Linked DNA regions of Schizosaccharomyces pombe. Changing the gene in region 2 together with the main gene of any one other region gives a genetic interaction. Each region holds a gene or a part of one and is shown on either strand. Other genes may lie near its edges. The genes, in order: bdc1 and pdp2.

The links.
Region 1: mutations in pdp2 (region 2) and bdc1 together harm fitness more than expected from each alone (negative genetic interaction), as found in Schizosaccharomyces pombe (2 studies listed by BioGRID).

The regions. Positions count from the first base shown.
Region 1 is NC_003423.3:2,419,767-2,429,722, forward strand, and holds bdc1 (bromodomain-containing protein 1), read right to left. Parts: upstream 5,759-9,956; 5' UTR 5,708-5,758; coding exon 4,808-5,707; 3' UTR 4,649-4,807; downstream 1-4,648. Other genes in the region: SAGA complex subunit Sgf29, read right to left, coding at 1-215; BAR adaptor protein Hob1, read right to left, coding at 1,024-1,092, 1,161-2,492; cysteine desulfurase Nfs1, read left to right, coding at 2,994-4,499; rkr1 (ubiquitin-protein ligase E3), read left to right, coding at 6,801-6,829, 7,019-9,956.
Region 2 is NC_003423.3:4,037,982-4,049,296, forward strand, and holds pdp2 (PWWP domain containing protein), read right to left. Parts: upstream 3,189-11,315; 5' UTR 3,142-3,188; coding exon 1,435-3,141; 3' UTR 1,193-1,434; downstream 1-1,192. Other genes in the region: SPOM_SPBC215.06C (LYHRT family protein), read right to left, coding at 138-658, 750-771; arginine specific carbamoyl-phosphate synthase Arg4, read right to left, coding at 3,755-7,237; acetyl-CoA C-acetyltransferase Erg10, read right to left, coding at 7,998-9,174, 9,235-9,245; odr1 (haloacid dehalogenase-like hydrolase ), read left to right, coding at 11,198-11,315.

The DNA.
Region 1 (9,956 bases), 1.6 Mb from region 2:
TGCATTGTATGCTCCAATTCTTTTTTCTGTTCTTCAGAGGTTTGAATTCCCGCGTCACACGCTTTAATTCTTTCTTCAATTGGATTATCGTCGCCATCAACCGTTTTATAACATTCTTCTTGTTTTATTAAACTAGACCGAATGGGATTTAGGCTTTCATGAAATTTAACCCACATGGATGTCACATCCTCTTCAGCATTTATGGGGCGTACCATAATATCCTGTAACTGATATTCTCAAACAACACTTTTCATCATCCAATTTCCTTTGGTAGGTGCTAACTCACTTACTAGATTGATTTGCATGATACTATCAGCTATGCAAATTACTTTATTACAAATTTCATTAACACTCGATATTGTATTTACCGTATCGTTGCTGCATTAGGTTACGTAGTTAACTATTCACTTAAGTCATGGAATACTGTCTGTTAACGAAGTTCGTTAAACGATTCTCGTTTAGCAACGACTCTAAATACTGTATGTCGTATATTTCCTGCTAGAATACATCAATTCCGATTGTTATACTGTTGAAACTACAAATCCCAAAAAATTCAATATCACAATGAAAGCTCTAGTTCGAATCATGTTTTGCTTCAATCCTAGCTAGCACTGTTAAAGTATAGATATAAGAAAGGACAGCTTTGTTGATAGACTAGTTAAATTAAAATAAAAACAGTTAAACGTAATTAATATATATAAGTTTACGTTATTCAAAACATTTCAAAAAATGTGCTACTCTTTGAAGTACACGTCAGTAAGGAAACACGTTGATAAAAAGCCAGTATTCAAACATAGACAGTGTTAAATTATCACTGGAGATGATGATGTATGGAATACATGTCTAAATTTAAGCATCATAGTTAGAACGACAAAATTGATAGAAATTGAATAGCAGTGTAAAACTTGTTGAAGCGCGCACACAAACAGTAACCTGTAACAACAAGTCCTATAATCAAGCTTCTATATTGACTTCAGTAGGCAGCGAGATTTTAAGACACATCTAGGTAAATTTAAAAACGCTTTATTCAAGCTGAACATAATTACCAGGAAATTGACCTTGTGCACCGTTAAGTCGGCCAATCCACCATTCCTAAAATATATATTAGTAAAGTCCTTGTTTAATAAGAAAAAAATGAAAATTTAAGTTTAAGTACTTACATTTTGATTATCAGTACGTGAAACAACTTCGATACGATCGCCAGCATGAAAAGATAAATCTCCGGCTGCTTGGGCAGCATAATCATATAAAGCAACAACATGCTCTGCGGCGGGAGCCGCAGCAGGTGCAGGCGCTGGTGGAGGTACGGGAACTGCGGCTGCAGCTGCTGCTACCGGTGCAGCAACAGGTGTGGTCACTGCCGCAGCAGCAGGTTGAGGCATAACTGGAGGGGGAGGAAAGGCCGCTTGAGGGTATTGAGCAGCTGCTGCTTCAGTTGTAGTAGTGGTCGTCTGAACAGTTTGATAACCTGCACTTGGGGTAGAATAATCGGAAGCTCCGGCAACCGATGGCGTTGAGTATGGGGGTGGAATATCCGTAGCTGTCGAAGAGGAGGGTTCGGCTGCTGCTTCTTCACGCTTTGACGAAAAGGAAGAAGAAGAAGAAGCAGTTGCATCTTTACCACCCGGTCCCATACCCGGTCGTTTATACGTCGGTTTAGCGGTCTTAAATTTAGTAATCGTCAAAGCCTCTGCGCGATCTTTAACATCGCCGCGTCTTCTTTCGTACGATTCCAAAATATCGGTATTGAAATCAAAGTACTGAATTTCGCAGTGACTCATCTTTTCATAAAGAACGTAATAGACATTTAATTGCATATAGTAAAATCCTTGGAATAAGGGAGCAATGAAGCTCTGAGCCAATGCAAATAGTTTAGGTAACTCCTCCTTCAGCATTTCATTATAATATTCATATTCTTGGGAAGATTGTTCAAAGGCGGTTTCAGCTTCATAAAGCTTCTTCTCATCTTTAAGGCTTTTATCCTTCTTTTCCTGAAGTTTCTTGAAAGATGAACGATGACGATCATAATCCAGCTGCTTATGATCGCGTTTCAACAAAAGCTTATCTACATCCTTAACAATCTTGAGCAGTTCACCAGTTGGATTGACAATGCGAGTGTTGATAACATCCATTTCAGAAGCCAAATTCTTTTGGAGATCGTATACAATTTCCTTGTAAGCCTCGGCAGCCTCAATACCTTCCGCATTGCCTTCTTGCTCATACGATTCAGGATCCGAAGCACGCCCACTAATAGGCTTGTAAATTTCAATACAAGCATCGGCAAATCCAATTTGATGATTCAATAACCCATTAATAGCATCAGTATACTTTTTGGCGTCTTCAGCCAGCTTTTTCGCTTCCGTTTCTAAAGACTTAAACCGTCTTCCAGCATCCTCATAAATAGGATCTTTGGTAATCTCTCCAACATTAAACTTGCTGCGTAGAGTCTGCGGCGTACGCGCAAGTGCCTTTGTAAACCCTTTCCAGCTCATCAAGTAATTCTGGTAGTTGGTATGTCTGACCCTTTCAAATTCCCTTAACCATCCTTCTCCGTATTCACGTAGCATACTTCGCAGCAATGCTGATCGTTTCCTGTAATTGTGCCGAATCGCAAATACAGTATACTACGCAACGTCTCGTTATTTTTATTTTTATTTTTATCTAGATGAGGTGAAAACATAGTAAATATAAGGCAAACATTTGATTTTAATTTGCTCGTCTCTATGCTCTTTATTACAGTTTTTATTCGATTGAACAGTGTCTCCGTCGTTTACGATGCAATGATAACATACTGATAATTGCGCAGCTCTACATGTATTGGGTCGAAGCTTAGTTTTGGTTGGTTTCAGATACGCCGCCAACCAAAATTTTTATTAGTCAGATCGCAAAATTTGAACTTAGCAACTGCCAAATTATTTTAAAAAGGACTTGTTTCTTGTTGTTTAGGAAATAAATAAAGAATTAGCAAAATTTCCTCTATTTTGGAAACAACCATGTCCAAAATGGGAAGTTTGATGCTTTCTAGAGCAAGATGCCTTCTTGAACTACGAAGTGCTTTATTTTTTGTCAAGCGAGAGAGTCAGGATATTAATAATGTTAGACAGAGTCTTGGAGTTTACGGTAGGTCGTTTATGACTTCCAGTCGTATGGACAAACCTTCAATGAGCAATAAACCTCGTGAACAAATGTACGGGCTAGGAAACATGACGGCGGTTCAAGAGCCCATACCGGAAAATTCTTTGAAAACAGTAACTTTGGATCAAGCACAAACCGCTGCTAGTACGGTTACGGGATTGCATCCTATATATATGGATTTTCAAGCTACCTCTCCTCTCGACTATCGTGTACTAGATAGTATGCTTCCCTTCTTCACTGGAATTTATGGAAACCCACATAGTCGAACACACGCCTATGGCTGGGAAGCAGAAAAAGCTGTTGAAAATGCACGCCAAGAGATAGCATCTGTAATCAATGCTGATCCAAGAGAAATTATTTTTACATCTGGCGCAACTGAATCAAATAATGCTATTTTGAAAGGTGTTGCCCGATTTTACAAAAGTAGGAAAAAGCATCTTGTTTCCGTTCAAACTGAGCACAAATGCGTTTTGGATTCCTTACGTGCTCTCCAAGAAGAAGGGTTTGAAGTTACTTTTCTACCTGTTCAAACTAATGGCCTTATTAATTTGGATGAATTACGTGACGCCATACGTCCTGATACTGTTTGTGTAAGTGTAATGGCCGTCAATAATGAAATTGGTGTTTGTCAACCACTAGAAGAGATTGGCAAAATTTGTCGACAGAAGAAGGTTTTCTTTCACTCAGATGCTGCTCAAGGATATGGAAAAATTGACATTGACGTCAATCGAATGAACATTGATTTAATGTCTATTTCTGCTCACAAAATTTACGGCCCTAAAGGAATTGGAGCCGCTTATGTTAGAAGACGTCCTCGTGTACGTTTAGAGCCGCTTATTAGTGGTGGAGGTCAGGAACGAGGTTTACGAAGTGGTACTCTTGCTCCATCTCAAGTAGTGGGATTTGGTACTGCGGCCCGTATATGCAAAGAAGAAATGAAGTATGATTATGCACATATTTCCAAACTATCCCAAAGATTAATAGATGGCCTTCTTGCAATCCCATATACATCTTTGAATGGCGACCCTAAATCTAGATATCCAGGTTGTGTCAACATTTCTTTCAATTATGTAGAAGGGGAATCGTTGCTTATGGGTTTGAAAAATATCGCGCTGTCTTCTGGTTCTGCCTGCACATCCGCATCTCTAGAACCGTCTTACGTTTTGCGTGCAATTGGTCAGAGTGATGAAAATGCTCACAGTTCTATTCGTTTTGGTATTGGCCGATTTACAACTGAAGCCGAAATTGATTATGCTATTGAAAATGTGAGTAGACAAGTTTCTTTCTTAAGGAATATGAGCCCGTTATGGGATTTGGTTCAGGAGGGTGTCGATCTTAGTACTATAGAATGGAGTCAACATTGAAGAACGCTTAATTTTACCTATTGAAGATTTTATTTTTTTTTTATATGAACGTATGGAAGTTGAAACTTTTTACCAGCTGTTATATAGTTACAAAAAACTAAATTGTAAATTATCTCATACTTGATTTGAATCTATACGAAATAAATACACGGTTATGATATAAAAAAAAACATAAATTTGATAAAAATAAAATATAGTACCATTTAAAAAATATGTACCCCCAAGTCGTCAAAATTATAGCCAAAAAATGATATGAATCCAAAGCATAAACAAAAAATGTTAAGGAATATAATTAAAATGTAAAACACTCATTGAGAACGGGTACTTGCCTGACGATAAATATCGAAAAGCTCTTCTGTGTAGCGAAAACATTCATCTCCCCATATGGACATGGCGTTGGCTGGATCGCTGCCATTGTACATTTTACAATTAGCAAAGATTCGAAGAACTTCTCGATACAATTCATCCACTTCCGTGATGTTACCCTCTTTGATCATATTCTTCAATGTTCGTAAGTCTTGAGGTTTATAAACTAAAGAATCGTAATCTGGTGCCTCTTTACGATTTACAGGATGACTAAAAGGTGCTCCAAACCTGTGATTAGAAATATTGTCGAGCATAGGAAGCATTGCACTTTGGAACTTTTTCAAAGACTGCTTTTCTTCATTAGACAGGGCAGCGCGCTTTTTTGGAGTCTTAGTTGTGGGTGCAACTTCGGGTTCGATATTTGCAGGAGCTGCAATCTCTGGTGTTTTCTTTCTAGAACGAAGAGATTTATTAGCAGCCTCTACAGGAGCTTCAGTTTTCGCTTTTTTTGCTTCCTTGTCAGCTTCTTCAAGTGCGAGTTGATCCTCCACAGCTTTTGCCTTTGCCTTTGCAACCTCTTCATATAAGCTTTCCAGTTTTTTTTCACATCCCTGTATCTCTTCAGCCAAATCCTTTAGGACATCGTTCCGCAGCCTTTTTCGTAGATTTTTTCGAGCATCATTATCGTTTTGAGAAACTTGGTTGGAGAGAAGCTTTGAATCAGATTTATTGCTATCATGCATCCATTCCTCGACCAGATCCTTTAATTGATCTTGTTCAATTGGCTCTAAAAGCAGGCTGCTTTCTGCCGTTCGATTGAAGAGTTCTTCGTTGGGAGCATTAGGATTTTCTTGCTGAATATCAAGATATTGTAAAACAGCAACCTCTTGAGCAATATTCATTATGCACTATACTTGCATCATCTCCACTAATTTTACAAGACAAGACACGGTAGAAAGGGAGTCCTTCTTTTCGTAGTGTACTACCTCCTTCATACGGCGTGCGCGTAAAACCTAAATTCTCGTTAGAGATTGCTGTAAAACTTCATTAACGCAACAATGCTAAATAATTTACGTTAGTTGCCAACCTTACACATGTTGCATATCTTAATAATTCAATGTCTTAGTTTGAAGACTTCTATAGAATTGCAGTTTGTCAAATTGTAATTGATTCCTATGATACCAGTGAATTATGTTCTATAAACCTTTTGCGTAAAATCTTTAAATTTTGCTGGATAGTCACATCATACTAACCAAGTTTCCAACGTTTTCTGTAACTAACGCAATATTGAACAGATCGCAATAAAAATCATCGTATTTTTACTGCATCCTTAAATTAGATAAGGTATTTTGTAGATGACACCGTTTGATAAGTTACTTTAAATAAGTTTTGCGATTGCAATTAAAGAATCTGATATGTAAGCTACGCAGTTTGGTATCTGATTTAAGGATACGTAGAACTGCGGTGAGTTTTCCTTGTGATCTATTATATTACAATACACAGGTTGTATAAGTAGCAACTGAGTATAGGTATTGTATTAACTGGGTTATAATGTTACCTATCACTAATATAGCTCATAACTGAACTGAGGAACGAGGTTCAGCAGTAGCTCTATTTATAGTATTCAGATAATATTGATCTTAATAGATTATCATTAAGATCAATCTCCATATCGTATCATACATGGTACGATATATAATTAGAACATGTGACATATAGTGATACGCAACGTAGTGTATCATAGCGTAGTGTAGTATTGCTGACATGATATACAGTTTAGCAAGCTACTTAATTCCTTTTCCGTCATCACAAATAGTTAAGCTTTAAAGTATCAGTTTATAAAGCATTGCATACCACAATGAATTGCTTAAAACAACGTTATCAATAACCTATGATAACGTCGGACAGACTGATATCTGATTTCCTTTGTAATTTTTCATTCTTTGTGCCAAATTGATCCGCTGCATTCCATTGCATTGTAAACTAAAAAAAAAGATGAAAAAAAAATCTACGGATTTATACGGGTAAGTAAAGATGTGAGAAGATGGTAACAAAATGGGTTTGCACACAAAATAGGGTCTTTCTCATTGGATATATGCAGAACACCTATGTTATTACAAATCCATACTTTTCCATATTTTGGGGAAGTTTGTTTAAAAATACAACGATTCTTTTTTCTTTATGTATGTGCCGAAATGCTAATCTCTTTATAGCCGTAAAAATCCCGGGATGCAATCGATGTCAGGATCGTTTTCATCCTTGCAAATTGCGTTGGATGAGTCCAGCTCAAATTTTAGTACGATATATGAGCCTCCAGACTTGTCTGGTTTAGACGCAGAAATGATTGTTATTGTGAAGAATTTGCAAAAGCGTGACATCGTAACGAAATGTCGAGCTTTACAAGATTTAATTCAGTGGAATGACCCATCACAGTTTGACAATGAACAGTTTCTAAATGCTTTGGCAGTTTTATTTCCTCGACTATCTATAGAAGTGGAACGACATGTGCGGTTAAAAATCTTTGTCTTCATGTCTGTTCTATCTTCTGCGCTTCAAAAAAAACTTGCACCATGGCTCAAATTCTATATCACACCTTGGGTTATGGGTTTTTTTGATTCAGATCGTGCAGTCTCTGTATCAGCAAAAGACTCTTTTAAAAATTTACTCTCCGAAGAAAAGTGGCCCCATGTTTGGCTGAAGTTTGGATCTACTATCGCACCTATAGTCACTGATGTTTTTTTACATGAAGACAAAGAATCGTTAACGGATTTGCGTTTTTTTTCAAATGAAGAAGCTGAATCGAAAGTTACCAGAGTTAAATCTAGCTGTCTTCTGACCCTTTCTTTTCTTTTCAAACAGACTGCCGATTTAGAAAATCTAGAGACAGATAAGAAGATAGATAAGCAAACCTTTAAGTCATCTCTTTACGAGAACTTGTCTACACTTTTCAAGTCTGACGAATTTTGGTCTTTGGTTTCCTCACCTCAGGATGGTGTCACAGTGAGCCTGAGCGATTTATTGCTCATTATCTTGAAGTATGATAAACCTTTTGTTACCCAATATAAAGAGAAATATTTTAAACGTGTTTCACGAATGATTTCACGACTAACTAGTTTGACCTGCGTCCCTATGCTTAGGCTTCTTAGTAACATGATTTCTAATTTCCCCAACGAGGTTCACCAATTTGCAAATGATTCAAAACGTCCTCTTTCAAAGTTGTTCTCAAATTTGATCACCAAGCGAATCAGCCTTCCTAATTCTGGGTTTTACACATCCTTGCTGAATTTGTTTAAAAGTATAGGCGCTATGCAGCTCGTTCCTTCCATTGAAAGTGTAGACGAATTGTGTGATGCATTCTTAGAAACTGCAAATCAAGAACAACGTTTCCTATCTACTGAAGTTTATGACTGTTTACTCAATTTCTTGTCATTTGTTTATACCGATTCTTCCGATCCTCAAATTAAGGATCATGTCCGTGACCGTTTAAGGACTATATTTACCAGGTATTTTAAAGGTGAATTTGTTCTACGCTGTTCAACGTCTGATTTCGATCATTGCTTGCAAAGTGTATTCGATAAAAATTCAGATTTCGCCTCGCTCTGGAACGAAGTGTTATTTGGTTTCTTTAATGATGAATCTATGGACATTGAAACTATCCCATTTGATTCTTTATCACGTAACTTAAGCTTAACCGTTCAAACAGTTTTATATCTTAAAAATAGAAATTTTCAAACTGGAAATGAAGTCATGTCGATTCTGGGACCTTGTTTGTCATTTTTAATGAAATTGTCTACCCACAAAAATGAACGTATTGCATGTTTATCGGCATCCCAGTTAATAACTGTTTGTCACATATTCAGTGATACTACATTGATTAAACCCGTTAAGGAACTTTTTCAAAAATATTTGGTGAATGATTTGCCTTCTTCGATTTTAAAGCTTGGGCCTCAATCTCCAGCCTTTACTTTGCTTCGTGATATTCTTTTACTTCTTAAAGATTACGCGGATCTCTCTGAGCCTTGGGAAAATGTTGCTAATCAATTCACAGTGTCCTTTGATGAACTGGAAAATATTAGGGTTTTAAATAGTCTTCCCTCTTTGTTTGCTGATGGAAAACTAAGGGGGAAAATTTCCTTGGTAAAAACATTAGTAGAATACTATGATACAGCAGTATTTGCTATTATGCAAAACCCAGGAAACGATTGGGATATGATAAGAGCGTGCATTGGGTCTAAGGAAATCCTTGTTCCAGAAGAAACGATTAAAAATATTTTGTTTACGACCTTGGAGTATTTTCTTACGAATGATTGGGTTGATAATCATTTGATTATTTTGTGCGCATCATTGCATTCTCTGAAAGCTCATCTTCCAACAATATTTGATGAAAATAAATCCTTGTATTCTTTGCTTCCTGTGATCCTTTTCAGTAAACCAGAAGATGATGGCCATGTTGCAGCTCATTTTGAAAGTATCTTCTCCCTATTGAAAGAGAAAGCATTAGAAGATTCCGGTTTTTCTCTTAAACTATGTTCAGAAGTGCAGGAATGGTCATTGAATAAGGTTTTGAATGGTTCTATAAATGAAAAGTTAGCTGCTGATAAGTGTGTTCTTGTTTTCAATTCGTTTGGAAAACTCCCTTCAAACTTCTTTACGTTTCCTGCCTCTTTTTGGGATGCAAAAATATCCTCTTGCATTCCTTTTTTCTCTAACAAGTTGTTCATTGACCAAGATTTTATTCTCGGATTTCTAGATTTAGTTGCCTCAGAGCCCATAAATGTTGATATGACAGACGTAGGTACTCAATTTGTGCATATATTCCATGCCTCCTTATACACTTTATATTATGTTGAAACTACCGGATGCGACGGTGATGCTTTATTTAACCTTACGTTTGCTTATTTGTTAATACGAATTTATTTACAAAATGGCATACAAAGCATAATTGATGTTCCCATCCGAGATGCTGGAATATTTGTGGAATCTTTTGAATGCTACTTCAAAGGTGAAGTGGTTAAATTTATGCGCGATAAGGATGCTTTGACAGTATTAAATGAGCTTTTAATTGATGATATAGATGGGAAAATGCCTGTATTGTTTAAAAGATTTAAAAATTTGTCATCTGCAGAGAATACTACTTCTTTTTCTATATTT
Region 2 (11,315 bases):
CAGTAAATTACATCGACAAAATAGTTTTAAATTCATTTTTTCTAATATTTAATTATGTTTTCAGAAAAAACCCCTTCCAAAATAAAAACCGTATATCCTTACAATAGTTCTTTTTTTTGTTATCAATGAATGCGCGCTTACTTGGTAATGGGTTTAACCAAATAATTTCCTTTAGCATCAGCGGTGATGGCAAGGTGCTTTAATACTTCCTTCGAATCCAACGAATCCTCTTTTGAAGCTTGTTTATTGTACTTCTTAAGCAACTTATAAAGGGAAATCTCTTGATTTTGTGTAAGTGCTAGCAATTGCTCTGCAGGAGAGCTAACAGTTTCTTTCTTTGACTTTTTATTCTCTTTATCTTTTTCATTTTCGTCAAGCGAGTGTTTAGTGGGACCAGCAGGTGTATTTTGATTATCAGTGTTTGGTGAAAGCTCTTTTGAGTTGACAGCATTTCCGTTCATCTTAGCTTTTTTTAGCTCTTTCTTTGTTGGACGATACAGACCTTTTTGATAGCGTTGAGCTTCTGTCATACAGCTAGTATGGTTTCTGTAATCGGTCCTTTCAAAAGTCGTATTGCAGTCTATACAAGTAAAGTATGCGCCATGGCAACGAGAGCGATGCTGGTCCAATTTGGGCTTTTTTATAATGTCTTGACAAACTAATTTGGTTAGCATTAAAAATGTAATCTATATAAAAACACAGCAGGAAATTCGCAGGATAATAGCGAACTTCCTGTTATAGAAAGTTACCTTCACAGCAAAATGAAACCATGTCTAAATTCTTAGTTTAATTTAATTAAGTTAATAAATGAAGTCCCCTTAAAGTAAATACTGATTTCACTATAGCGTCCTTCAATTGTGGTAGGTAAAGTTTGTTGAAAAAAATTTCGTTGAAACATCTTCACTGTGCTATGTAAAGCCGCGCATCCTATTTTTTGCACTTTTTCATTTTATTTTTTTACAATCAAATGCCTTTTTTAAAAAAATAGTAATAGTTAGAATAATGTTGTAAACCTAGCAACACTTCTTTGACAATGTTATTCAGTGTTCGAACCGTATTACTTGACACGATATAGATGGTTTGCCGTTGAGCGGTAATTATGATTTTTACCATCAAAATACGCCTACAAAAAAAGCAATAAAAGATTGATTAACTTGATTTATAAGCAAGTAAAAACAGTGCAATCCAGTTATTCAGTTCATTAAAGAAATATACATAGCTTTTAAATTATGTTAATTATTCTGTCTAGCAATCATTTAAAGCAAACTGAAGGCTAGAATAATAAGGGCAATTGGCATGTTGTAAGACTATCACAAAAAAAAAAGACAGTCTAAGGTATAAGTTGAATTGAGTTTTTTGTGGTATTGTTAAACACAACTTCCAAAAAATAAAGGTTTATTTGTTTGTTTTAGTTCTTAACGCAAAACATTTTCACTATTTTTGACCAGTTGACAAATCTACTGCTGCTACGCCATCCTCAGGTTCAGCTAGATTTGGAGTTTGTTCGGTACCATCTTCAGCAAAATCTTTACCAGCAACTTCTAAAGAATTATCGGCATCCTTGCTACTTTTCTCTTCACTTATCATGTCTTTTGAAGCATCAGCTGTTTCGTTCTCGTTTTGTGTTGGTCCGTTGGAATCAGCTTTAACTTTATCCTCGTTGTCTTCATTCTGCTTTTGATCCGTGAGCTGTTCAGCTGGTGGAGACGGCGTTGGTTTTGATTCAGAGCCTTCATCAAGAGAAGCTATCTCGGTTTCATTTTCATTTGCTATTGATGCATCCTGTGTTTGTGAAGCATCGGTTGACAGTTGTTTTTGAGATGAAATCTCCTGCAGCAAAGATTTCCATCTGTTCTCCAAAATATCTCCACATATGCTTTTGACTTCGTCCTCATTTTCTTTTGGAAGTCCAGCTAAGGAAAAAATCTTCCTCACGACAACAGCAATTTTAGTTTTCTGGATTAATGGAACATCAATACCTTGGAAGTTTGCGAGCTTGTCTAGATAATTATGAACTAATTTATAGTCGACTTGACTAAGGTCCTGTTTTGGTGATAACAGGCTGCTTTGTAATTTGTGTCGAAGAAACAACAAAGATTGCTCTCGTGAGTGAAAAGTTCTCTTTGCAACGTCTTCTTCATTAGCGACAGAGCCCTCTTCTTCTTCTTTATCCTTTTCTATCTCGTCGGAGGATGCTCTTTTAGATGAAGGGCTTTTCTTTTTAGAAGCAGCAGTACTACGCCGAGGAGAAACACGAGTTTTTTTTGCAGGGTTCGAACTAACGTTTGAGGATGCATTGAGGCGTTTTTGTGGTACGGATTCAAGTGAAGGGTCAAATGTTACGGTTTTTTTCTTTGTACCTTTCCTAGTAATGCGTCTAGCTTTCGTATCATTATAATCTTCTTCTATTGGAGATGGTTCCGACATTTCTTGGTCAGATTCTTCTTCAGAAACTTCTGATTCGGAAGAAGGAACGGACAACGAGTCCAGATCTGGTGTACTTTGAGCCATTTTATAAGCTTTAATCAAACTAGCAGTTTTTGGCTTGGGTTTTTCCAAGAATTGTGATATGGCCTCTGAAGTTAAAGGAGTAAGAGAATCAGATCCTGTCCATAGGTATTCCTTGTTGGGAAAGAAAATTACGGGATAAAATGTTCCTGCACGCTTTGGTTTAGACTTTCTCGCGACGCTGGTCATTTTGCTCTCTGTAACGACCATACTAGGCCACCATGGGAATCCCGACATTTTTGTTAAAACGCGCATTCCAGGCTTATAATTGACGCGTTCAGATTGTTTGGTTTCTTTTCTCGCATTGCCGTTAGACTTCTCAGATTTTTGACTTTTTATATCGCCAATATTATTGGAAGGCTGATCCGTTTCTATAGTTTTCCTATCTTTGGAATCAGATTCCTCTTCCAAACCTTTTGAACTTTTGTCATTTGCTTCCTTATCGTCCAAATCCTTATCATCACCTACATCCCTTTGGATTTTAATATCTTCTGCTCCATTCGAACTGGTGGTTTCGATATTTTTCGAATTGTTAGTTGCCGTTGACATTTCTCGTGATTCAACTGCAATAGAAGACTCTTCTTGTTTTCCAGGATTTTCATCCTTTACGCTTGAATCCTTTATTTCAGTCATTTTACAAAACACCGTATTACCCAAAACGTCCTGTAAAAGGTAAAGGGAAGAAGCATTAATGTGAGATGGTAGACATAATGAGCACGTAGTTCTCACCGTATCATTTCATTAACCGAAGGTTTATTCTAAATAAAATTAAGCGAGGAAGTAAGGATGCTAACGCCATTGAGTTTTACGCTATTGATCAGTAAAAGTTATAATAGTTGGAGATACTAACAAACATGTAGTAGCGGATGTTTAAAGAATTCTAAAGGCTTTTATAAATATTAGGCCCATATAAATGCCCATTACTATTAAAGAACAAAACAAATTAAGATATTAACATTTGGAAATGGACTTGTATTATTTTTTTTTAAGAAAGTTTCTAAAGTAAAAGGAAACAATAATTCAATTGATTTAATGTTTATGTGAAAAATCTAAAGGAGAACGTTTATCGGCAAAACGAGAACACAAAAACAAACCCAAAATACAACCGCTAATTCATCCAAGAAATTAGCAAAATGAAACGAACAGACTATAAATTAAGCAGAAACCACCAACAGTGATTCAATCAAAAAGGAATATTAACAGTCAAATCGCATGAACTCATATATTAGACACTTTAGGCGGCAAACTAAAGATCATGAGATCCGATCCATTCACTCCATCTCTTGACTTCTGATGGCATTTCCTTCTTCTCAGATAAAACGGAAGGGAGCTTCTCCTTCAAGGACTCAACAAACAATTTGGCGCAGTTAACATCATTAATAAGAGTGACGTTGAAGTCAACAGCATTTCTGCGCATCACATAGTCTTGATCCAAAACGTTCTTGCCGCGAGCAGAAGCCAAGTTGAAAACCGAGCGAATATTGTATTTTTCAAATATAGCACGTAAAGCACGCTTGTCCTTAACAGGGAACTCAACGACTTCAGCAGAGGTAGGCTGTAATAATTTAGCAGCATCTTTATTAGCAACGTAAAGTTTATATCCAAGCTTGGAAAGGTCAGCAGCAATACCAGCAAGTTCAGGTCGATCACCACCTAAAAGTATACCTTGACCTGGAAGAGGAATCTTAAAGTTTTGAGTAGACTGAAGTGCAGCCCAATAGGCTTCCTTTACATCCTTACCGAAACAAGCAACTTCACCAGTGGAGCTCATTTCAACACCAAGGTAAGGGTCAGCACCGGCCAAACGTGTCCAGGAGAACTGGGGAACTTTAACGCAAACATAATCACGATGCACAGCCATCAAATCACGAGCAGCTGGTACTTCTTGATCAATAATAGAACGAGTAGCAACGTCAATGAAGTTAACGCCAAGAGTCTTGGAAACAAAAGGGAATGAACGAGAAGCACGAAGGTTACATTCAATAACCTTCAAGTCAGGAGTATCAGGTTTATCAGGGTTTTGGGCCAAGATAATTTGCATGTTGTAAGGACCAGTAATTTGGAAAGCTTTGCATACTTTCTCGGCTATTTCTTTACATCGGCTTAAAATATCTTCGCTAAGTGAGTAAGGAGGAAGGGCGATAGTAGCATCACCAGAGTGAACACCTGCGTTTTCAACATGTTCCGAAACGGCATGAACTAAAAGTTTACCCTTGGAAGCAACAGCATCAACATCGAGTTCCCGAGCACCCTCGATAAACTTGGTAATGACAACTGGATGATCAGGAGAAACAGCTGAAGCATTTTCTAACTTATCCTTTAGACTAGATTCATCGCGAATAACACTCATGGCAGCACCAGATAAAACATAGGAAGGACGTACTAAAACAGGATAACCAACTGCATTTGCAAATTTGCTTGCCTCGGCTACAGACGTAAGCTCTTTCCAAGCAGGTTGGTCAACACCAATTTTGTCTAAAATCTGAGAAAATTTATGACGGTCTTCAGCTGAATCAATCATCAAAGGATCAGTACCCAATACCTTAGCACCAGTCTCTTGTAACTTCAAGGCGATATTTTGAGGAAGTTGACCACCAACACTTACTACAATGCCAGATGCGGTTTCCATCTCGTAAATATCCATAACTCTTTCATAGGACAATTCTTCGAAATACAAACGCTCACACTCGTCAAAGTCAGTAGAAACAGTTTCAGGATTATAATTAACCATAATGGTGCTATGACCAAGTTTTCTAAGAGTACGAGCACAAGAGACACCGCACCAATCAAACTCAACACTTGAACCAATACGGTAGACACCAGATCCAAGAACCATAGTTCCATGTTCATTAAAATCTATGTCATGAGAGGATGCGTTGTAGCTAGTGTACAAGTAGTTCGTATGTGCCGGGAATTCTGCTGCGAGGGTATCGATCTTCTTAACCCAGGGATGAACATCAAGACGTTTTCTACGAGCGCGAACGTCTAATTCAGAAGCTCCGACAAGCTTGGAGATTTGAAGATCAGAGAAACCAGTCTTTTTAGCACGCAACATGATTTCTTTATTAAGTCCATACAAAGAACCAATTTCTTCCAACTCTTTGTAAACCTTAGCCATATTCGCGAGTTTGCTCAAGAACCATTTGTCAATCTTGGTCAAATCATGAATTTTATCAATAGAATAGCCTTGGTTAAGCATTGCCTCAACAACAGCAAAGAAGCGACGATCGGTGGGTACACTGAGGGCATTGTCTAAATCCTTGAAGGGCATGGCCATAAAACCCAAAAAGGAGGGATCGACTTGACGCAATGCCTTTTGAAGAGATTCCTCAAAAGTACGACCAACGGCCATAACTTCACCGACACTTTTCATGGAAGATCCAATTTCGCGATTGACGTATTGGAACTTGCTCAAATCCCAACGGGGAATCTTAGTAACAACATAATCCAAAGAGGGTTCAAAGTTAGCAGTGGTAGTTTTAGTAACAGCATTGGGAAGTTCAGGAAGAGTGTGACCTAAAGCAATTTTTGCAGCGGTGTATGCCAATGGGTAACCGGTGGCCTTAGAGGCCAAAGCAGAAGAACGAGAAAGACGAGCATTTACCTCGATAACACGATATTCCAAACTGTTGGGACTCAACGCATATTGCACGTTACACTCACCGACAACACCTAAGTGACGGATAATCTTAATGGCAGCAGTACGGAGCATATGATATTCTTCATCAGAAAGGGTTTGAGAGGGGGCAACGACGATGGAATCACCAGTATGGATACCAAGAGGATCAAAGTTTTCCATGTTACAGACGGTAATGCAATTGTTAGCAGCATCACGAACAACTTCGTATTCAACCTCTTTCCAGCCTTTCAATGATTTTTCAACCAAAATTTGGGGGGTTAAAGACAATGACTTAGCAGCCATCGATTGCAATTCCTCCTTATTGTTTGCAAAACCAGAGCCAAGACCTCCAAGGGAATACGCTGAACGGATGATAACAGGGTAACTAACCTTTTCGGCAGCCTGAAGAGCTTCATCGACGGTAGAAACTGCAACTGATTCAGCAATAGGAATATTGATCTCGTTCAAAGCCTTGGCAAATAAATCACGATCTTCGGAAGTTTTAAGAGTGGAAATTGGAGTACCCAACACCTTGACATGATTACGGGCAAAGACACCCATGTCGTCCAATTGGATACCTACATTAAGGGCAGTTTGACCACCGAATGTAAGGAGAATGCCATCAGGGTTTTCACGTTCAATGAGGTGGGTAAGGTATTCAGCAGTGACAGGCAAGAAGTAGATCTCATCAGCTAAGCTATGAGAGGATTGGATAGTAGCAATGTTAGGATTGATAAGAATAGTATGGACAGAGCTTTCGCGCAAAGCTTTAATAGCTTGAGCGCCCGAATAATCGAATTCACCGGCTTGGCCAATGGATAAACCACCAGAGCCGACTACAACGACTTTCTTAACTTTCTCATGCTCGGCGGCCTTAATATGACCAGAGCGGATATAAGCATTGGCATCTGGGGTATTACTTTCTTTAACCTTATCGTTAAAGTTTGTGGCACTGGCGGAAATTTTGCGATGTGGAACACCGGACCATTGAGGAAGCAAGTGTTTACTCAATTGAGATACACCAGCAGTTTCAAGAACTCTGTTAGACCCAAGAAAGGCTTTAGAAATGCCAGGAATGGCACGACGCATTGACGTAGCCCACAATGCCATTTTCACCTGCAATCCAAGCTACTTTTTTCAATTACTTACTATGAAACAAGCAGAGATGCTGGTTCGAATGGAGCAGCTGGATTAGTTTTTAAAAAATAGAACAAGGGGTGTTTGCAAAAGCTAAGAGAACAAACTCTTCTTAAGCTGAAATTTGTGACTTGCTTCTATTGATCTTTGATCTTAACTCTCACAGTACTGATAATGATGATAAGGAGATAAATGTAATGCAGCAAGTTTTTCGATATGGAAAGATTCGTGGTAGATAGCCAACTTCGATATATAATAATTAAGGAATCCTATGAAAAATGCCTTAACTTACAATTAACGATCAGGAATTTTTGGAGTATACATATAGTATTAACGAAAAAATATTGGTTAATGGATTTGCTTTAAGCAAGGGTGTTTAAATCTGGTAAAGGCAGTAAATGCAGGATTATTACTATCGATAGTTGAGCTCAGTTTAAATGTTTTAAATGATACAACAATTCGTATAATTAATAACAGCCCATTCTTTACAACTGATAATGAGATGTGGGATTACTTTTTTCTAATACTGATTACAAAAGAATAGCACATAAGCTGTACACAATTAGCCGCAAAAGAAAAAAAATTTCTTCTTTTAAACTGTTAAAACAAACGTTCAAATTCTTTTCATCTACGCGACTTCTAAATTGTATAAATGTGTAAGATGTAAATCGCCTTTTTAAACAAAAAAAAAAGAAAAAGAGAGGTTTCTCAAATCGTTAAAGGATGATAATGTCTAAACTCTTTCGATAACAATGGATGAAGCACCACCACCACCATTGCAAACAGCAGCTACACCAATCTTGGCATCCTTCTGAGCAAGAATATATGCCAAAGTACAAATGATACGAGAACCACTGCTACCCAAGGGATGACCCATGGCAACACCACCTCCGTTAATGTTAACACGCTCGGGATCTAATCCAAGAATTTTGGTGTTGGCAACAGCAACAACACTAAAGGCTTCATTGATCTCGTAATAGTCAACTTGGGAAGCTTCAATACCTGCATGCTTGAGAGCTTTGGGAATAGCAAGGGAAGGAGAAGTGGTAAAACGCTCAGGATCTTGAGCGGCTTCACCCCAACCAATAATTTTAGCAAGAGGCTTAAGACCAAGTTCTTTCACTTTGGCAGCCGACATGAGAACAAGAGCGCTAGCACCATCGTTCAAGGTAGAAGCATTAGCAGCAGTGACGGTACCGTTACTCTTGAAGACAGCACGTACGGATTTGAGTTTGTCTTCGTTAAGGTTCTTGGGCTCCTCGTCCTCAGTAACAAGCTTGTTGGGCTTACCACGACCAACAGGGACCTCGACGGGGACGATTTCTTGTTCAAATGCCTTTGTAGCTTGAGCGTTTTGAGCACGTTTGTAAGAAGAAATGGCAAAGGCGTCTTGACTGGCACGGTCAATGCTGTGTTCCTCAGCGCAAAGCTCGGCAGCATTACCCATGGGAAGTCCATCATATGCATCAGATAAACCATCACGTAAGAGACCGTCAACCAACTCAACGTTACCGTATTTGGCACCAAAACGGTTCTTTGGGGCATAGTAAGGAGCATTTGACATGCTCTCGGTACCACCAGCAACGACAATCTCAGCATTTCCAGTCATGATAGTTTGAGCACCGAGAATTGTTGCCTTCATACCAGAGGCACAAACCTTGTTAACAGTAGTACAAACGATGGAACGAGGGAGTCCAGCACCTAAGGCGCATTGACGAGCAGGGTTTTGGCCAAGATTGGCTGAGACGACATTACCCATAAACACCTCATCAACATCAGAAGGCTTAATATTGACCCTTTCAAGAGCGCCCTTGATGGCAATAGAGCCTAATTTGGTGGCAGGAAGAGAAGCGAAACTGCCGCCAAAGCTGCCCATGGGTGTGCGAACAGCAGACACAATGTAAACCTCTCTATAAAGAAAATGTTAGGAAATTTATAAATGAATCAAGTTTCACTTTAATATCACATACGTGTTAACCATTTCTTAATATGTCAAAGAATATACAAGCCAAAAATGTATATGATGAATGGTGGTTTTGCGCACGTTGTGCCATATATACTAGTACTATAATGCGCGATACCAGGGTAAGGTGAGTGTATTGTATTCTTTCAAAAGGTAACGTTCGACATCTCTAAGCAAAACTTTGCGCTGTATAATTTGTCAGCAATACTACACTACGCTATAATACACTACATTGCGTATCACTATATGTCACATGTTCTAATTATATATCGTATTATGTATGATACGATATTGAGATTGATCTTAATAATAATCTATCAAGATCTATATTATCTGAATACTATAATTAGAGCTACTGCTGAACCTCGTTCCTCAGTTCAGTTATAGGCTATATCAGTGATAGGTAACATTATAATCTAGTTAATACAATACCTATACTCAGTTGCTACTTATATTACCTGTGTATTGCGATATAATAGACGACAAGGAAAACTCACCGCAGTTTTACATATCGTTAAAACGAATACGAAACTGCGTAGCTCACATAATTTGTGTAAAGCGTAATTGCTGGACACAACTGTAAGCACAATTAAGGTAAAATAGCGGTTTATGAGGTAGTAATATGCAATTCTATCGAACAAATCAATTGATGAATGGACTAATGCTATTTGCTAATGATGTTGTTTCCTACTTAATTTACAAGTGTGAAGATTTCTAAAGGTTTTTGAGAATTAAAACATATTTGCAGTTTAAGGAATTGAGACAATTGTTACGGTGGTAGAATAAAAATCTTCTAACATGGAAAATTAATACGCTGAAAAATTCACAGATCAAAATTTGTTGAGCCTAAAAAATTATTATTATTGAAAAAAAGCATAAAAGGATTAATCAAGCAATTAAAAGGCCACGGTTGAAATACGAAGCCAACTGAGAAGAGATTTATTCGAAATGGTAAACAAAAAAAATAAAAAGAAAGCTATTCTTTGCTTTCTATATAAGTTTGAGTTAATGAATTTTAGTATTAAAATAAAATTTAATGATTAAATATGACAACTTGATAAATTGATAGATCCAACTAAATATTATTACCTTTTTCTTTGTTTACTTTTATTTTTCCAGCTCATTTCCAGCTCATAATTAATTTCTACATAAGGACATCGCTAGTTAGAAGTTTAATAAGGAGTCTTACAATGTCTATACGACGGTGAATTAGTTCCTGTGTAGTCTCTGTTCTGGTGAAACTGTAAGTGTAGCGAAAGGCAACTGCTCTGGGCTCAAGGTCCCAAAAGTATAGTTGTACTAATGTCAAAGAACTTCCCACAGTTTGAGCTACAGAATTTCACGTAGCAGAAAAATGTATAATAAAAATCCTAATGAAAAAATTTCAAAGAAAATAAAGAAAGGAAAATTAAATAATCTCTCCATCTTTTTTTGAACAAAGCTAGCGTTAACTTGTTGTCTAAATAATTTTTTGCATTTTTTGTTTACATGTTTATTCAAACAGCTGTTTGCTCTTCTTTCCTTCTCACTACAAACGCATACCCTTCATTTTACAAACCCTCCATACTCGTCTTGCCGTACAATATCTCTTTCTGTTTTAATAACGCGCCGGAGTGGGATCGAGATCTTGACTACCGAAGGTCCGGCATTCAACATGCTTTTGTCATCCCAAAAGTGGGGAATGCTACTTAAAGTTATTTAAACACCCCACAACCTTTGTATTCACAAACCAAAGGGATCACCTCAGCTGTGAACGACAGGTACGCTTCTTCAATACAGCAATATTAGTCAGCAAGTTATATTGTATCTGTGTCATCTTTCGGGCTATAAATACAAATACGATAGATCATTGTGGGTATTTGTGAAAACAGTTACTTTGATTTTTAAATAAATTGATCAATTGTTTATCATAGACAGGTAAATTGGACGTTAACAGTGTTTTGATTAAAAATCTCATACAAAAAAGAAAGATGCCGTCTAAAGAAATTGACATTAATCAAAAGAAAAACGTCTTACCTAAACCGGAGGATATTCAACTCATTATCTGTGATGTTGATGGTACTTTGCTGGGACCGGATCATAAGCCAC